Arabidopsis thaliana: one gene and its partners. The protein of the gene in region 2 interacts with the protein of the main gene of each other region in a pairwise test. Each region holds a gene or a part of one and is shown on either strand. Other genes may lie near its edges.

Evidence for each region.
Region 1: the proteins of NF-YB3 (region 2) and NF-YA3 interact in a two-hybrid assay, tested with the Arabidopsis thaliana proteins (2 studies listed by BioGRID).
Region 3: the proteins of NF-YB3 (region 2) and NF-YC11 interact in a two-hybrid assay, tested with the Arabidopsis thaliana proteins (2 studies listed by BioGRID).
Region 4: the proteins of NF-YB3 (region 2) and NF-YA1 interact in a two-hybrid assay, tested with the Arabidopsis thaliana proteins (one study listed by BioGRID).

What each region holds. Positions count from the first base shown.
Region 1 is NC_003070.9:27,404,821-27,409,386, reverse strand, and holds NF-YA3 (nuclear factor Y, subunit A3), read left to right. Parts: upstream 1-1,846; 5' UTR 1,847-2,105; intron 2,106-2,256; 5' UTR 2,257-2,298; coding exon 2,299-2,596; intron 2,597-2,707; coding exon 2,708-2,799; intron 2,800-2,880; coding exon 2,881-2,955; intron 2,956-3,043; coding exon 3,044-3,217; intron 3,218-3,301; coding exon 3,302-3,688; 3' UTR 3,689-3,926; downstream 3,927-4,566. UniProt on the Arabidopsis thaliana protein: Stimulates the transcription of various genes by recognizing and binding to a CCAAT motif in promoters.
Region 2 is NC_003075.7:8,342,515-8,346,001, reverse strand, and holds NF-YB3 (nuclear factor Y, subunit B3), read right to left. Parts: upstream 1,654-3,487; 5' UTR 1,340-1,653; coding exon 854-1,339; 3' UTR 678-853; downstream 1-677. Other genes in the region: AT4G14530 (agamous-like MADS-box protein), read left to right, coding at 2,119-2,526; AT4G14520 (DNA-directed RNA polymerase II-like protein), read right to left, coding at 2,929-3,487. UniProt on the Arabidopsis thaliana protein: Component of the NF-Y/HAP transcription factor complex. The NF-Y complex stimulates the transcription of various genes by recognizing and binding to a CCAAT motif in promoters.
Region 3 is NC_003074.8:3,956,048-3,961,172, forward strand, and holds NF-YC11 (nuclear factor Y, subunit C11), read left to right. Parts: upstream 1-1,715; 5' UTR 1,716-2,017; coding exon 2,018-2,050; intron 2,051-2,787; coding exon 2,788-2,860; intron 2,861-2,951; coding exon 2,952-3,045; intron 3,046-3,363; coding exon 3,364-3,498; intron 3,499-3,586; coding exon 3,587-3,644; intron 3,645-3,742; coding exon 3,743-4,231; 3' UTR 4,232-4,425; downstream 4,426-5,125. Other genes in the region: AT3G12470 (Polynucleotidyl transferase, ribonuclease H-like superfamily protein), read right to left, coding at 76-738; CYSB (cystatin B), read right to left, coding at 4,476-4,613, 4,899-5,044.
Region 4 is NC_003076.8:4,050,212-4,055,808, reverse strand, and holds NF-YA1 (nuclear factor Y, subunit A1), read left to right. Parts: upstream 1-2,139; 5' UTR 2,140-2,531; intron 2,532-2,845; 5' UTR 2,846-2,847; coding exon 2,848-3,124; intron 3,125-3,477; coding exon 3,478-3,578; intron 3,579-3,729; coding exon 3,730-3,801; intron 3,802-4,112; coding exon 4,113-4,277; intron 4,278-4,458; coding exon 4,459-4,662; 3' UTR 4,663-5,029; downstream 5,030-5,597. UniProt on the Arabidopsis thaliana protein: Stimulates the transcription of various genes by recognizing and binding to a CCAAT motif in promoters.

The DNA of each region.
Region 1 (4,566 bases), on a different chromosome or scaffold from region 2:
GTTTGCTTTTATAATCGGTTTGGTATTTTTCGGTTTAATTGTGACTTGATTTTATTTTTTTCCTTTTAAGAGAACCAATTTTTTCTTTCTGCTTTGTACTCGATGTCTGCCCTTTTTGCTCAACAAGCTTTACCAGATTGTATTCTGGTATTTCATCAGGCTAGAAATGGAGAAAGAAAAGTTGGAGCTGCCAAACCCACAGGAGTTGTGTTCTCACTGGAAATGTTACATTAAATATCATTGCAAAACAACTACTAATACATTGAATCTCCTTTGATTTTGGTCCAAAGAAAGGTGAATAACTTTTGATTTTGGTGCATATGGGATGATGACGGACTGATGAGTACCCAATATCCAGTGCCCACGTGTCCTAATTCTTATGGATCAATCAAGGGCTTAAAAGCCCATAAACATTAAACAGAGGGAATAAAGGAATGCTAAAAACTAATTAAGAAAACATCAAGTAACAATTATTATGTTTTGGTTGTTACTTGTTACTTCCAAGGATAAAGGAGGGATTCCTATGCTTGACTTGCACTAGAGCTTTATTTCATTGCAAAAAAGGTTAGGTACTTGATTAAGAACCCAACCTAAGTTTTAGTATTATACAATCCTTTTTCCCATCTCATTTTACATGCTTACACTTTCATTAAACTATTATACTCAAGGAAACTGGTTGCAGGTCTATAACTTGTAAATTAAAACTGTTCGTGTTATTTATTCCCATGATAAAATTGTAAGAGCGTGTGAATCACGAGCTTAGGAGAGCGTGTGAATCACGAGCTTAGGAGAGCGTGTGACATCAATATGGGGAGGGGCGGCTAAAGACTAACGAGTAAAGGCATAAGGGGGAAATTAAGGACTGTTCAGAGTTCAGAAATGTTTTTAGTCTGGAAACGACAATACACTTTGGACAAAAAGCTAAATAACATTTTAAAAGCTTCATACAAATTAAAAATATAATCAAACAAAAGCTAACGTGGCCAAGATAGCTAATTACTTTTTTGGAATCATTATTAGAGATAATGGAAATTAAGAAATCATACAGCCAAAACAAACCGTAGTTATTATATTCGTAACAAAAGATGGGGGAAAAGTTAATATAAAACAAACCTTATACTAGTATATATAATACATGGCTCATAATACATTACTGCTAAATGAGCAAAAACAAATAAAGGTAAAGTTCTTAACGGCTTTGTAGAGATAGGAATCATTAATTTTAGAGAAAAAAAAATCTTGAATTGTACGTTTACCTTTCCAGAATTACATTATTTGTTGGCTTTTAATTGTTAATCATTTTTGTTGTGTTTTTCCTCCAAATTATAAAATTTAAAAACTGTGTCAGGGAATTTAGGAATCTAATATAGTTGGACGATTTCGTATTAATAAAGATTTTCAAAAAAAGAGTCTGCTCTAATCGTTATTTGGGGGTAAATTGATTCTATAAGGTAGGGTTAGCCAGAGAGCCTTATTCTGTGTTTTGGGTTAAAGTGAGACCAAATAAATTAAGATATTTAAAATGAATAATTAAGAGCACTTAAGACAATAATTAACCCAGAAGGAGAAGCTGGTGTAGTGGTGGTTCTCATGGCGATGTTGGTTTCCCAGGAAAGGTAAAAGAGACGGAGACGAACCAAAACAAGGAAGAAAGAAGAAGATCTTACATACGAAGATCACTCTCTGATTCACTCTGAGAGACAAACTGGTTTACTTTGGTTCTGTTTGACAAAAGGAGACATGCAAAAATAAATCTCTATCCCTTGTTTTTCTTCTTCGCTTCATCGATTACTCAAAGAGGTTTCTTTCTCTATCTCTTATCTATTTCTTTCTGCATCTGTAGTCTCTTTGTTCGAAAAAAAGATGTTTAATTTCTGTCAAATTTTTCTCCTTTTTTCTTTGTTCGATTATTGGTGTATCTGTCTTGTGGCGTGCGATTGATGTTTACTGATTCTGAAAAATTCTTGCTAAAATAATTCATCTTCAAGTCAACGACTTTTTGCCCAAAAGTGATGACGGGAACAAGAAATTTTTCTTGGTCGGAAAATTACTAATTTTAGCCAATCGTAGCGATCTCTGCAATCGTGTTTTGGTTACCCAAGATAGTACGATCGAATCAGTTCGTTTAGAGAATTAAAAAATTACTCAAATTTAGAAACTTCCAACTTCTGTTTCTTTCTATTCTGGGTTTTTTCACCCACTTGGATTATTAGCTTTAAAAATCTAATCTTTGAGTCATTTTTGATTGTTATTTAGGTTGTTGGTTGTGAGAATAATTAGCTTGTTAAGGAAGACGTTATGATGCATCAGATGTTGAATAAGAAAGATTCAGCTACTCATTCCACTTTGCCATACCTTAATACTAGCATCTCTTGGGGAGTGGTTCCAACTGATTCCGTTGCTAATCGTCGCGGTTCTGCTGAATCACTAAGCTTGAAGGTTGATTCAAGACCTGGGCATATACAAACTACAAAGCAAATCAGTTTTCAGGACCAAGATTCATCTTCAACACAGTCCACTGGTCAATCTTATACTGAAGTTGCTAGTAGTGGTGATGATAATCCTTCCAGACAAATCTCCTTTTCGGCTAAATCAGGTTAGATTGTTGGTATATATATGTTTTACTTCTTGTGTCATTGACAAAAGAATCATCCTTTTGCCATAAAGAATGTTATCCTCTTTCTTACTTTCTCAGTTGTTTCTCTAGGATCTGAAATAACTCAACGGAAGGGGTTTGCAAGTAATCCTAAACAAGGCTCGATGACTGGATTTCCGAATATTCACTTTGCTCCTGCACAGGTATTTGTAACTCTATGAATACAGTAATCATAGCAAAGCTTTTGATTGTAGACTGATATCTTATGTTTATACATGGTTCAGGCTAATTTCTCATTTCACTATGCTGATCCACATTATGGTGGTTTATTAGCTGCAACTTACCTACCACAGGCACCAGTAAGTACACCCTTCGTTTCCAAGTGGGAGATTTACCTTTCAGTTTTATCTGTCCATCAGATCTCAAGTCTCTTAATCTCTTTTGCAGACATGCAATCCTCAAATGGTGAGTATGATTCCTGGTCGTGTTCCTTTACCAGCAGAGCTCACAGAAACTGATCCAGTCTTTGTCAATGCGAAGCAATACCACGCAATTATGAGGAGGAGACAGCAACGTGCTAAGCTTGAGGCTCAAAACAAACTAATCAGAGCCCGTAAGGTAGTTACCAAATTTTGGTTTATATTTTAAACAAACGCATACACGTAGAATTGCTTTGCTCATCTTTTCTTTTTCTTATTGCAACAGCCCTATCTTCATGAGTCTCGACATGTTCATGCTCTTAAAAGGCCAAGAGGATCTGGTGGAAGATTCCTAAACACCAAAAAACTTCTTCAAGAATCCGAACAGGCTGCTGCTAGAGAACAAGAACAGGACAAGTTAGGCCAACAGGTAAACAGAAAGACCAACATGTCTAGATTCGAAGCTCATATGCTGCAGAACAACAAAGACCGCAGCTCAACCACTTCTGGCTCAGACATCACCTCTGTTTCCGACGGTGCTGATATCTTTGGACACACTGAATTCCAGTTTTCAGGTTTCCCAACTCCGATAAACCGAGCCATGCTTGTTCATGGTCAGTCTAATGACATGCATGGAGGTGGAGACATGCACCATTTCTCTGTCCATATCTGAGACAGTGGATCTTGGTGCTGTGTTCATGTTCCCACCAAGAAGGGGAAGTCATCCTTGGCTACTACTAGTTCTTTCGCTTGTTGTAACTTCAGTGTTTTTATTTCATATTATGTCTGTGTTAGACATCACAAGAACGACCAAGATCTTCACTTTGAAACACTCTATTACCTTTTCATCTTCTGTTACCATGGATCTCTTGTCTAAACTAGTGATATGATTCTTCTGATAAACTTTCAATTCCTCTTTTGTTTTTTTCAGGATTTATATATGTTTGTTTTTGCTTCATTTGTGTCGGCAATGAAGAAGTCTCCTTATTCTGTTTGAAAATGGCGAAGAAAAATACAGATTCTGGTTCCACTCCATTGATTTCTGTGAAGAGACACATTCGGATTCTTGAAGTATTTTACAATTTAGTTGACAATGTTTAAGAAAACATTTAATGAAGAATCCAGTATATATTAGATTATGTCTTATTCTTGATACACTTCTTATAAATAAAGTAAAAAAGGTTGAAAGATTCTACTTTGAGTCTCATTTTATCTGTCTGAGAAGATGTCATACACTTGAAAATACTACCATTTCTTCCACACGTTCATGAATATTTTTTTCAAAATATCAAGGCAGTCTCTATGCATTATTTCCTATTTAAGATATAATATTTTGATAAGGTAAGAAGAAACGTAAAATACTGCTCCAAAACACGTTGACTTATGGGACAGATACACACACACTTGTGTCCCTCAAATACTAACAAATGATCATAATTTAACTTCTGTAAAGAAAAAGACAGCATTGTGAAATATATAAAGTCACAATCCTGTACATATCACTTTCGCAAGTGATTCATGAATTACTTCTAAATATAACATGTTGCCAAA
Region 2 (3,487 bases):
CTTCTCTGTTTTGAAATTCAATGTTGAATACAATTTGCTTGACAAAAACAATAATGGAAAGCAGTTTGGTTATTGTAGTCATGGTATTTGTTGATAATTCTTTATTTTTTCCTGATTTTACCTGGCTGATGTTTTGTTTAGTTTTTTGATAGAAACTTAGTTTTGATATTTGAGTATTGCTTGTAAGAAAAAATCTTTGAATATTTGTGGCATAACATGGACTAATGGAAAACCCAAGCTCTTAAAAACCTGGACTCAAATATGAAATTTTCGCATCACAACACTTTAAAAGAAAAACTAATATTACATGCTGTGGTTTCGGGCCTGGAGGAATTACGGGCTTCGGCCCAGAACCTCCTGAATTTCAAAAAAAAAAAAAAAAAAAAAAAAGATCAAAGATCAAAGATCAAAGGTTACGTTTTAGATATGCCCTTGATTACATCTCATGTTCCCTGCATCAAAGTAGAAAAAGTTTTTCAATGACTCTTTTTAGCTTGATGCTATAATTATATTCCCACTACAATTTTTTAGGAAACATTTTACTCTAAAAAAAATGTATGTCTCTCTCATTTGATTTTTCCTCCTAATTCAACCATAAACTTCGATATCCTAGTTTACTTTTGTTACTTTCATCTTTCACGAATAAACACCCTAACCTTCTTTTATTCTTTTTTTTTGAAAAAAGTAACACCCTAACCTTACGAATCATAAATTTAATATTTATTTTGTTACGTTAGTGGGTTGAACCTAGTTTTAAAAAAAAAATTCTGTAAACATTATACTAAAAGTTAAACATATATATATATATATCATTAATTAATAAAAATGAAAATTTGCTTTTATCATTTTACAATTAAGAAAAATGATGGGAAAATTGATGTCCCATCGTAGTCACCATGCCACCACCGTACATCGGAGCTCCTCCACTTCCACTTCCAGCTCCACCGCCTCCTCCTCCACCTTCCTTATCGCCTTGTCTCCCTGCCGTAGTAGTCTTCTCTCCTTCCACCTCCCTATACTTTTGCAGATAAACCTTGAGAGGCTCCACGTAGTCCTCAAACCCTAGCGTAGTCATCGCCCAAAGAAGATCGTCACCGTTGATTGTCTTCCTCTTCTCTCTCTGACACTTGTCAGAAGCCTCACCGGTGATGAAACTTATGAATTCCGATACACACTCTTGAACCGTTTCTTTAGCATCCTTAGAGATTTTTGCGTTCGCAGGAAGTGCTTTCTTCATGATCCTGCTAACGTTAGCGATCGGTAGAAACCTATCTTGCTCACGTGTCGAAGCATTTCCACCGTCTTTGTGTCCTCCTGAATCGTTGTCCGAATCCGCCATCTTTAGATCGAGGAGACAAAAGGTCGAGAAAGAGAGATAGATGTTTTGGGTCCGTTGGATCAGAGAGGATAATAATCGTATCGTGATGACACGTGGGTAGTTATAGGTCGATTGTTTGTCGATAAGATTATTACAAGTGGATGTTATTTGGATAGAAAAGGAAGAGAGAGACTTGATAACCGGTTCTGTTTTTTCGGTTTGCCTTTATTATAAAAGACTCTTGAGTTCTGGTTATATATGTACTTTTGGTTTTTGTCGTTTATATCATGAAATCAAAAAACAAAACCCCTAATTCAGATTTTATTAAATTGATTTGGGCCAAAAGAAGACAAAATTTTGAATTTCCTCTTGCAATGGGCCTGATACGGGCCTAGATCCCTCCTATAAAACCACCGACATTTTTATATATACAATTGTTTCTAGGTTTCTTGTTACATACACTATCTATAAAGAGAGAGAGGTAGTGTCCCTCAAAATCTCTGTGAAATCAAAGAAAGCAGAATGGGAGGACTAAAGAGAAGAATTTCGATTGAGAAGATTCAGAAGAAAGAGTCACGAGCCGTTTGTTTCTCCAAACGTCGTACCGGTCTTTACAGTAAAGCCGCGGAGCTATTATGTCTTCTCTCCTCCGATTCACAGGTTGCGATCTTGACGACTCCTTGTTCTTCCAACTCTCACGTCTCCTTCTACTCCTTCGGCCATTCCTCTGTTGATTCTGTTGTTTCCGCTTTCCTCAAGGATCAGGGTCTTGTTCGTAAAGAGAATCTAGGGTTAGAGTTATGGTGGAAGACGAGAGTCTTGCTAAATCGGAGGATTCGGAGGAGTTGAGAAAAGCGATTGAGTCGATGTCTACGATGTTGAGAGATCTGAAGGAATTGGAATCTGTGAATAATTATCGAAGAGATCATCAAGAGGACGTCAAGATTAACAACGACATCAAGATTAAGAATCTTGTTTCACACGAAACCCTAAATCTTCAGTTAAGTTCTGCAACTTTTGGCGTTCCTGATGATGATCGTCTCAAAGAAGAAACGGAGATGGTTGTATTCGATGATCAGATCTTGGCGATTTTTGAGAGTAACGACAAACCTACAGGAAACTTGGAAGATCAAGAGATAGATCTTGATCAATTCCTAGATTTTGATCAACTCATAGATTTCGAGGGTTTGATCGATGGCGATTACTAGAGCACTCAAGAGTATCCAGAGCCTGCTGAGACTCGTCTTTTGATGAATTCGAAGATGGAAGATGTCTCGATGGTGATGAAAAATCCAAATCTGTGGTCTGATTCACAGAGGTTTAGATGAAAGATGATCCTTTTCAATGAGTTACCACACCATTGATGCAGTTTGAAGATAGCTCAGCAACTAATTTTCTTATATGCTTTTGTATGTATTAGTATTATATCAATATGTAACTCTGTCGGTATTGACCAATTGAAATTAATAGAATGTAATTGGTTCTGTCAACTTTGTTTACAAATATTTCTTGTCGATCCAGTTTAACACGAAACAACCCCAACGAATCTGAGGTTAACCTAAAAGCAAAAAAGTATCTAAAGACTTTTAACTTTTGGTGCCTTGTTTGGGTTACATGTATGGCTCATCTGACCCTGTAAGAGAGATGGGACCAAATGAACCATTGCCTTCCAAAGTTGCAAGAACATAATAGTCGTTTCTTCTCTTGTGTGGTCTCTCTTTAAACCGCACAGCCAACACCTGAAACCGCACAACAACTCCAACAGCAATCTTTGAGAGGTCGTCTTTCTGAAAATGCGGTTTCTCGTCCTCCGACAATGGTGAGTGGACATAATGATAATGTGGCATTTTCAAGAGTGAGAGGTATGCGTATCTGAGTGGTCCTGACCTGATAAAAGCTCCGTTCCACAACACTTTTTTTACAGTCCCTTGCAAGATATCTCCTCTTGCAGGCAAGAATGTGCGGCATGTGAAGGACACCGGGAATGTGAGGATTTTTGCTTGATGATTGTTTTCGTTGTCGATGTTGTTGTTCTTGTTGTTACCGATGCTTTTTAGAGCGGTGATGCCGAGATAGAATCCGTGTTCCCTGCACGCTTTCTCGTGTATTAGATCTTGGAGTAGTCTGCATAGAATCGGTTGGTGCGGCGATTGGCCATTCAAGTGTTTG
Region 3 (5,125 bases), on a different chromosome or scaffold from region 2:
AAATACGATAACATGAAAACTTTCATGAATTAGAAGAAGACGTTGATTGATAAAGAGAGAAGAACAACAACAAATTCAAATCACAAGATTAGCAGCAACTTTTAAGTTCCAGAGACGTTCCTCAACAGCGAGCTTAAAGCAAACATACGACTCAATCGACGCCTGAAGTACCTGATAATGGTTAAGGTTATAAACGCCCCAATCGCTCATACAAATCGCCGGATCTAACCTCACTCCTACGCGACCCAAACGCTCCTTCACGATCTGTTCAAACGAACAAAAACACATCCTAGCCCCTCTCGAATCTCTCACGAACATCCTTATGTCCAGAAGCTTCCCGATCTCCACTCGATGCCTACATTTCTCGAGTTTTTTCTGGTCTTGGCCGTTCCAAACGCCGACGAAAGTCGTTTTGGGATCGGCAAGGAAAGTGCGGAGGACTTTTGGGAGACCGTAATTGTAACCTAGTTGGATGATGAGACAGCGACTACCGACGCACAACTGGAGAGTTTTTGGTGGTGGATCTGGATCGGAACTATCCGGTCTCCACTGAACACCGATTCCAACGACGAGAGGATGTACCGAGTGATTACGGTTGTAGGAGCGGACGCTACGAATCCAGCGGCGGATAACGGAAGCAGTCGGCGTAACGGTGACGATCAAGTCGTCTCCGAAAAAATCGACAAAGTGTTTTTGGTGAGTACGGAAACTTCTGATTCTTTTGATCGTCGGAGCCATTGATCTGTCTTCTTCTTCCTTTCTCTAAATTTTTGAGCGAGTGTTAGAAAGAGAAGCGGTTTCTTTTTCTTGTTATAGGGTACATTTTTGTTTCTAGTTATAATCACCGTCGATCTTTGTAGTTTTAATCGTACGGTTGACAATGGAGATGCATGTACTGTCACATCGTCAGGCCTATCATAGATGTATACGCAAAACATTTACTAATTACTGTATTTTACGGCTCTGAATTTTTATTTTTATTTCCATAAAGGTTTGATGAAGACATGGAATATAATACTTTTTTACGTACTTCTTTTTACTAAAATAGTTTATTCAGTTATTTGGGGGCTTAATTAGGTAGATAACCATAACCTTTTTTTGTGTGTTTTTTTCACGAACAATGATTCACTGATGTAAAATCATAATTACTGATGAAGTTAACTTTCAACGTATAACGCTATGACGCAATTACTCTTGATATTTTTTCCTATATATTGGTTTGACAAAATTTTGTAACTTTAAATATAACTTCTGAAAAAATAAAAAAGTTGTAAATATAAATTCCACAACATTTTGTTTGGAACTTTGGATACATAGGCCACTTTGTTTTATCACACTTTATAATAAAGGTGGTTTCTGTTTTTTTTTTCTAAAATTCGACAGTTTGGTTTATAAGTATCTAAATTCAACTTGAAGACAAATAATTCTAACTTTATTTTATTTAAATTGTGATAAAAAAAAGTAACCCAAAACATATTTTTTGGTTCAGGCATATGTGTTACAACTTACAAGGATGCATTATCCTCAAACAAAATCCAATAAATAAAAAATAGAGAAGGTGGATGAAGATCTAAGAATTAATACTGTCACGAGAAAACGTATACAATCCACTAATACATAGCCACGTGTATGGTTAGATCTTTTCAAACAATCCGATTATATTTTGTGCTCCGCCGTATATTTATAACTAACATTACTTAATTAAATAACCATGTCGTCGACCCATTTTTTTTCTTTGACCCAAAACTTTAATTTGATTATATATATTTAATTTTAATTTTTCCATCGCACGGAGATTGTAACAAGGAAACCGCCGTCGCCGGATCTGATAGTGCATATCCATGAAGTAGAAGACGAAGAAACTTACTTTCTGATCTTAGAACGGAGTATATGTACAGAAGATTCGCGTCCCTCAATTTTTGATCTCAAGGGTCGGGTTTACCTTTTTTTCCTTCTTATTTTTGGTGGCTTTGCGTTTTCTCATTCGACGATTTCTGGATTTGGGGATTTCAAAACCATGAGGAAGAAGCTCGATACTCGGTTCCCAGCTGTAAGTTTTTCGTCTCTAATTGATCATTTCTGAAATTGAAGTCCAATTTCTCGGAAATTACTTTGATCTGTTGTTTTTCAGATCGAATTTCCAACACTATTTGGGATTAGATTAGTGTTCTACGATGAAAATTAGATTAAGTATCTCATTTCTGGCGAATTAGTTTTAGCAAATGACCTAGTAGTCAATTTCACCCTAATTTTTGTTGTGCTTGTTATATAGCTATAGTAATATGTGTTATGAAGATCCGCTATGGAATGTTTCATGTAAATTAGAGAATTCGAGAATTTAGGTGACTAGTGCTCGAAACGTGTTCTTTATCAACAAACCAGTCAGCTATTGGTTAGATAGTGTTGATTGAAGCAGGGATGTTATACACGAATTGTTTTTTCATAGGCTTGGAACTTTTTGTAGAGCTTCCAATTTGGCTAGCTAGATTTTGTTTAGCTTTATTGAATAAAACGTCAGATGATTTCATAAGTTGGTTATTGTTGATGGTGGTTTATTTTGTTTGAGCTGAGGCTAGAATATTAGTTTTTCACAGATTTTGACTTTCCATTTAATTTGTTAATATATTTTTGTTTGTATAATCTGATTGGTGATTGTACAGAGCGTGCTTGGTGTTTCTCAGTTCTACCATTTGCTTTATAATTCGTTTAGTAGTCTGTAATTATTGCCACACACACTGTGTGATGGTTGCTGTTTCTTCATTTGATGCATATATTACAATTTTTCAGGCTCGTATTAAAAAGATTATGCAAGCTGATGAGGATGTTGGCAAGATAGCTTTGGCAGTGCCTGTCTTAGTCTGTAAGTCATCTTGCTATCATTGACTTCAGTTTGAAAAGAGAATTATTGGAAACTTTACCCTTTGGCTAAATTTCATGTTCTCTTATTACAGCAAAATCTTTGGAGTTGTTCTTGCAAGACCTTTGTGATCGTACATATGAAATTACCCTTGAAAGAGGTGCCAAGACTGTGAGCTCATTGCACCTGTAAGTAACAGATTGGTTTACCTTTATTTTTGCTTTAACTCTGCATGCTAGCATCGTCATTATCTAAAGAGCATGAAAGGTTTCACTTGAATGCATTTTAAATTCTAGAGCTTTCAGATGTTGTAATTATTGATATTGTGGTTTAAGAGTTAACATGATGTTGTTAAGCGGAATAGCTTCCAACTCATAGGGCCTATTTTCACTGCATCCAACACCGAGAGGATGTTGTTTACTGTTACAGAATTTTATACCACAAATTTGGGATAAAGTTCTTATTTTTGCTCATCCATGTTTATCAAAGTGCTTTGTTGTTTACAGAAAACATTGTGTGGAAAGATATAACGTGTTTGATTTTCTGAGGGAAGTTGTGAGTAAGGTGCCTGACTATGGCCATTCCCAAGGGCAAGGACATGGTGATGTTACCATGGATGATCGCAGCATCTCCAAGAGAAGGTTGGATGTTTGATCTCTTAGTTCCATATGTTCTAGTTCTTTGTTTATAGTCCGTGTCAAGCTGATGTGAGATGGTTTATCAAAACAGGAAGCCCATCAGCGATGAAGTGAATGACAGTGACGAGGAATATAAGAAAAGCAAAACGGTGAGCTCGTGTTCTTCTTGAAATATTATACTTCATCATTCATTTGGTGTCTATTCCCAGCTCCTTAGATTCATTGAATATATTGGTAATCACTGCAGCAAGAGATAGGGAGTGCTAAGACCAGTGGCAGGGGTGGTAGAGGAAGAGGGCGAGGAAGAGGTCGTGGTGGACGAGCTGCAAAAGCAGCCGAAAGAGAGGGTCTCAACCGCGAGATGGAAGTAGAAGCCGCCAATTCTGGACAGCCACCACCAGAAGACAATGTCAAGATGCATGCGTCAGAGTCATCACCACAAGAGGATGAGAAGAAAGGCATCGACGGCACAGCAGCATCGAACGAAGACACCAAGCAACACCTTCAAAGTCCCAAAGAAGGCATTGACTTTGATCTCAACGCTGAATCCCTCGACCTAAACGAGACCAAACTGGCACCAGCCACAGGCACAACCACAACCACAACTGCAGCAACAGACTCTGAGGAGTATTCGGGCTGGCCTATGATGGACATAAGCAAAATGGATCCAGCACAGCTTGCTAGTCTGGGTAAGAGGATAGACGAGGATGAGGAAGATTATGACGAAGAAGGCTAAGTCATAACAGCACTATAGGATATATAGAGTAGCAGCGTTTAGCAGTTTGTCTAGAAAATGCTTCTTCTGTCATCAAAATCTTCTCCTGTTTCCATTTATTGTATGAACCAAAGATTGCATGCACTCTATGAAACTTAATTTATTCTCCTGATTTGTTATTTAAGGTTTTAGAGTTTTACATCAGAAGTTAAAATATCTTACAGAGTAAGTAAACACTCAAAAGTACATAAACAAAGGAGAGGGACTAGTCATGGTGTTGCTCCGCGTGGTTGAGATGAAGAGCACCTTCATGGTTCTTGTGAACTTCCACCTTGAACTTTTCCTCTTTTTCTCCCCTCTTCAACTTCAGTAGCATGTTGTATTTTGCAGCCTCGCCGGTTACCTGTGTCCATGTTTTTAATATTAAGCTCATTAATCTTGTAATCACCAACTATTACAACTCAGACGTTAGTCCTCATACCAAGGAGAACCAATATGTTGCTTAAAGTCTTTTCTACTTCTAAAACTTCAACACCATTCGGTTTCACTGACACTTGATTTCGTTTATTTGCAATTTCTCAGATGAAATTCATGCAAAAACATTGTCAAAATCTGACAAGTTCTCTATTGAAATTCATTTTGTGCAATTAAGATCGAAGATAGAGTATATAGTAAATTAAAGCCATACCTCAGCTTTAGCATGCACAACCTCCAGAAGTTCATAAGGGAACAAGGAGTTAGACCTCTGCTGAATGGTCTTGACAGCCTGCTCAGCAACATGCTTCACTTCTGGATCATCTCCGGGAACTTCCCTCCATCCAGATTCATGTTCACCTGATCCACAAAACCCAATTTTCATAACCAAACTCTTTCCTAACCCACAATCTCTGACTTGCTACATATATATCCCCTGAC
Region 4 (5,597 bases), on a different chromosome or scaffold from region 2:
AACAAGAAAATGAAATTTGGAAATTTTCTTCGTATTAGAAAAAGAATCCTTATGCATACCAATGATCGAGTATTCTTTTGTATGTCAAAAGAATCCTCATACACACCAATGATCGGATTGACACCAGTCTTCAATCACGTACGATTGTTATTTTATTTGGAGTCGTACGTTGAAGTGAAGTAGATAGTATTATTTCTTGTATGTTAGGACTTAGGTTTGGTGTTTATATATCGTGAATTCTCTTTGATTTGATGTATATATATGTGTGTGTGTGTGTGTGATGCCTATTTTACGATTCGTATTTTAAAAAGCTTGGTTTTGTGGGTGTTTATCACTGCATGAATTAAATGACGTACTTATATGATGCATGTGACAAGACTATGAATCGACATATGTTGGATAATTATCATATGTATATGAAAAGTTAAGGTTGGGGAAAAAAAAAGTCAGTATGCGTGTATCAATGTATGATTTGTTGTAGTATGTAATATAGAATCTAAACGGATTGCATGTCAGTACCACATGGATGTGCGGGTTAACGTTTGTTGTTTCCCACAAAACCGCGATAGTAATCAAGAAAGTTAAACGGATTGCATGTCAGTATTTACTAGTTCGAAACTTGGTTGGTATGAACTGCATGTTAATTATATTTTTAATGACTTCAAAGTGTTTGCTTAATGTTTTTAGTTATGATTTTATGTTTAAATTATAGATAATCTCTAGAACAAAACCAAACGTTTTAGCGGTTATTTTGATCAACAATATGATTGATATATACTAAAGATGGCATATCTATAGATGATTATAACTAGGTATACAAAATAAGTAAACCATAGCATCTTAAAAACAATTCTACTATAAACGATATTTTTGTTTGTTTGTGTAGACCTTTGATATTCATTGATATCATCACTTACTGAAAAAATAAAAAATTGAATAAGCAAAAAGCTGAATACCGACGACTGTCGATCCTTAAACTCACGAATCACGATTGTCAAACGCACGCTCACGGCTCACGGGAAGCTTTAGCCGCTATGATAAACGGTATCTTTTATCTAGGCGGCCAAAACTTTGTTCACCATAACACTTCAAACACAAATGTAGACCATTACACATATATAATCAAATGGTTTCCACTTAATATATGTTAGTATTCAAAATAACAAGATATTTTAAAAGCATAACAAGAGTTAGTGTCTCTATTTTCTCCCCACCTTCTTTCTAAATATAAATATTGCGTATGATTCATCATTTTCGCCTTTTTTTAATGGCTAACGTTCGGTGGTTGAGTGTCTGAGTGTCTGAGTGTCTGAGTCATATGCTATATATTATGCTTTGTCATTTTCCATATCATATTTGTGTATCCCCTTGTCCATGACCGATTAATTAATTTCGCTCTCACAACAAACACTTCACTAGAGAAAATATAATTACCATCTGTTCCCCTGAAACAATACATAATCAATGATGATATCAACATCAAGTGTTATAGTGAGAAATGCACAGCGAAATTTCTCAATTCGGTTTAGTATTCCAACAAATAAATCAATTATTGTTCACAAAGACGATCTGGCCAAAACTCATATAAATGTTATGTGTTATGGATCCTTTAATCTCCGTAATAACACCAAATTACTAAACTTCGAACGTATTTTACCTTTTGTAACCATTTAATATGATTTTAATAAACTTTTCATAGTTTTTTTTTTTACCTACAATTATTTATGGAAAATATTTTTTTCAGTTGTATTATTATTATTATTTTCTTAAAACAACTATATTTTTTTCATGAAGGGAAAACACTTTATATTATTTTGTGAAAGAAAGAAATTACAAATATTGAACTAATTAACTTATTTCTTTAACAAAAAAAAATCTTTTAATTGTTTTTGCCAATAGGGTCCCCACATTTTACAGGTGTCCCTCGTCCCAGCCCATCACTTGCGTGTCACTTGGACCCAAATTTCTCCTGTTTTTTAAAAGAAATTTAATTTCTTTCTAGTATATAAGAAAAAACAAAACAAATTAAAAATGAACCTATGATAACGTCAGCCGGAGAAGATCCCAGATCTGCGCGCGCTGGCATCTTTCATAGAGCGCCACGTGGCAAAAAGATTTTTCACTTTCGTAAGTGATCTTATCAAATCTCGGTCTTTTGTGTAAATTCATCATCATCATATAACTTACTCTATTTCGATTTTTCAATAAATTACTTAATATCAAAAACCACAATTCTGGCAAAAAAGAAAAATCCCCAAAATCTAGGGTTTTCTTCTCGCCCAATTTCACTTTTCTTCTACGAAATTCTCCATTCCTGCCGGCTGTCGGGTTTTCTGAATCGATTCTCCTTCACCAACTTCTTCTCTGGTTCTGTTCGATTCTGATTTTTTTTCAAGGTCAATTTTTTCTTCTCTTTAAACTCTGCAAAATCGTGATCGATTAAATTCACCTCAGGGTTTTTTGATTTCTGAAAGAAGTTAATCTTCTTCGAAGGCGATTGCAAAAGAGTGCTCTGCTGTGAATTTCCACTGGTATGTTCAATTTTTTCTGTTTTTGAAATTTTGTTTGCTAGAATTCGTGAAGGGATTGAAAAAATTGATGCAGGTGGCTAAAGAATCTCTTGAATATTACGAGCTTATGTAGGTTTAGAGTGTAAATTCGAGACATGTGAGATTTTGGTGCTTTCTCATATTTTTGCATGCTTCTGCATTGCTTCATAGCCCTAAAATTGCTCTCTTTTTTTTGTAGTTGGAGTCTGTATCTTTTTCACGGTTTTAGTGATGAATTTTTTTTTTTGATTGGATTTTGAATTGGTTACTGAACATGTGTTGACTTGATTATGTAGAGATGCAATCAAAACCGGGAAGAGAAAACGAAGAGGAAGTCAATAATCACCATGCTGTTCAGCAGCCGATGATGTATGCAGAGCCCTGGTGGAAAAACAACTCCTTTGGTGTTGTACCTCAAGCGAGACCTTCTGGAATTCCATCAAATTCCTCTTCTTTGGATTGCCCCAATGGTTCCGAGTCAAACGATGTTCATTCAGCATCTGAAGACGGTGCGTTGAATGGTGAAAACGATGGCACTTGGAAGGATTCACAAGCTGCAACTTCCTCTCGTTCAGGTTTGAGTTCTTGGTCTTTAGGCCTACTTGGTGTATTGTTCATATTCATCATTTCTGCAGTACTGTTTTACTGGATGACCTAGTGATCACTGTCGAAAGTGATGTTGTTCCACGTTCGGAATGTTGCAACTTGGTGAAGAGTTGTTCCTCAAGCAGGCAGGGAAATTAAATGGGCATTTGTGTGATTCGGCACTATAGGGCGTGTCAAGTTCATGAATCTGGTCCTTGAAATATACTTGCATTGTAATTGTAGGGTTTCATAGTTCTATCCATGCCAAGGAGATTCTGTCTCGTTGATATGTGCATTGTGATTTCTTTATTTTGTTTGTAATGGTGTCTTTCTTCAACTTCAGTAGATAATCACGGAATGGAAGGAAATGACCCAGCGCTCTCTATCCGTAACATGCATGATCAGCCACTTGTACAACCACCAGAGCTTGTTGGACACTATATCGTATGTGGTTTCCTCTCATTCCTTAATATATATATATATATGCTTTATGAGTTCTTGAGCTGTTAAATTGACTTCTTATTGGTCCCTCAAAAGGATTTATCTTGTATAACGCCCTTTTCATATGTATGATAAACTCAAAACTTCCTTACAGGCTTGTGTCCCAAACCCATATCAGGATCCATATTATGGGGGATTGATGGGAGCATATGGTCATCAGCAATTGGTATCTTGTCGAAACCTCTTTCAATCTCTACAATAGTTCCATATGGTGCAGTGTTTATTTGATGTATGTGCGCTTTTGCCACTAAGTACCCGTTTGTGGTGATTTTATTTACTGTTGGAATGTGTCTGGGTTCAGCAATAGTCAGTGAGATGCTTTTAAAGTTCATTTCTGAAATAACTGAGAATCCAAAGTTATATCTGAAATTATCGAGAACAACTAATGGGGATTCTTGGGGTCTTATAAGTTATATGTAAAGTTTTCGATGATCTGAGTCTATTTGTTGCATTTATTTTGTTCATTGGTTTAAACAGGGTTTTCGTCCATATCTTGGAATGCCTCGTGAAAGAACAGCTCTGCCACTTGACATGGCACAAGAGCCCGTTTATGTGAATGCAAAGCAGTACGAGGGAATTCTAAGGCGAAGAAAAGCACGTGCCAAGGCAGAGCTAGAGAGGAAAGTCATCCGGGACAGAAAGGTATTTTTTTCTCATTTATGAAAATTGTACTTGATTGGTGTCCTGGTAATCTAAGGATGGTGTAGAGTCCATAATAGAAGTGGACCCATGCTATATGAAGGATTGATAATGAGCATTAAGAATTTGCAAGTTTGGTTTGTCGCTCGGTAAACTTGTATTGACTATGTTTGAAATGCGACAGCCATATCTTCACGAGTCAAGACACAAGCATGCAATGAGAAGGGCACGAGCGAGTGGAGGCCGGTTTGCGAAGAAAAGTGAGGTAGAAGCGGGAGAGGATGCAGGAGGGAGAGACAGAGAAAGGGGTTCAGCAACCAACTCATCAGGCTCTGAACAAGTTGAGACAGACTCTAATGAGACCCTGAATTCTTCTGGTGCACCATAATAAAAAAAGCCAAAGCTCTGAGAGGAGAGAGAGACACACACTTTGGCTAATATAATCATTGCCTCAAACCGGCAAATCATTCTTGGCTTTTTCGTTTTTGTGTTTGCTAGTTGTTCTTGTCAGAGTCTCATATTGTGTGGGTTTAACAGTTATGATGAATGTACAAAGAGCGAGTTATGTTAGGTGTTAGATTTTGGAGACAAGAGACTAAGGAATAGCAAGTAGGTCTTGTTTTTATTCTTTGACCTTTTTTTTCTCTTTTGCAAAATTGAAAAATACGTTTGCTTAATCGTTTGCCTTTCTGACCACAAAGTGTTAACAAGGCTATAACAATGCTTCAGATTTGTAGTCAAATTCTCTGTTTTCGCCAACTTAAACATTATTTGACCGGAGGAGAGTGATTAGAAAGTAGAAGAAACCTATTAAACATTATGTTTTGCAAAGAAAAAAAAAACAGCTTGCAATAAGTTGCATAGTTTGCTCATGGAAGTTTCAAGTTTGCATATAAACCAGATTTGAAAAGGACAGTGAAAAAAAAGAAGTTGTTAAATCTACAACGGGCAGATCGATTATTTATATCAACAAAAAACACGAAGAGCATATGAAAGAGAATATGGAAACACATAAAAAATTAAGAGTTGTCATTCTTTGAATCCCCGCAAGCAAGAAGAAGAAGAAGAAGAAGAGAGTCAATTTGTGTGTTTTGTCATTTGAAGAAGAGAGAGAAAGAGGAAGACTTTGACTCGTCTTCTTCCTCTCTTCTTCTCTCTCTATCACTGCATTTGTTTTTCCTCACAGCGTATGATGACTTTTCTCTTTAATTTATCCTTTTTAGCTACATATCTTCTTTTGCTTCAACTGATTTATACCCATTTAAATGTTTCTACCCATTATAAGTTCTGAGGTCTGTGTTTTCCCTCTTTCCCTTGTCTTTG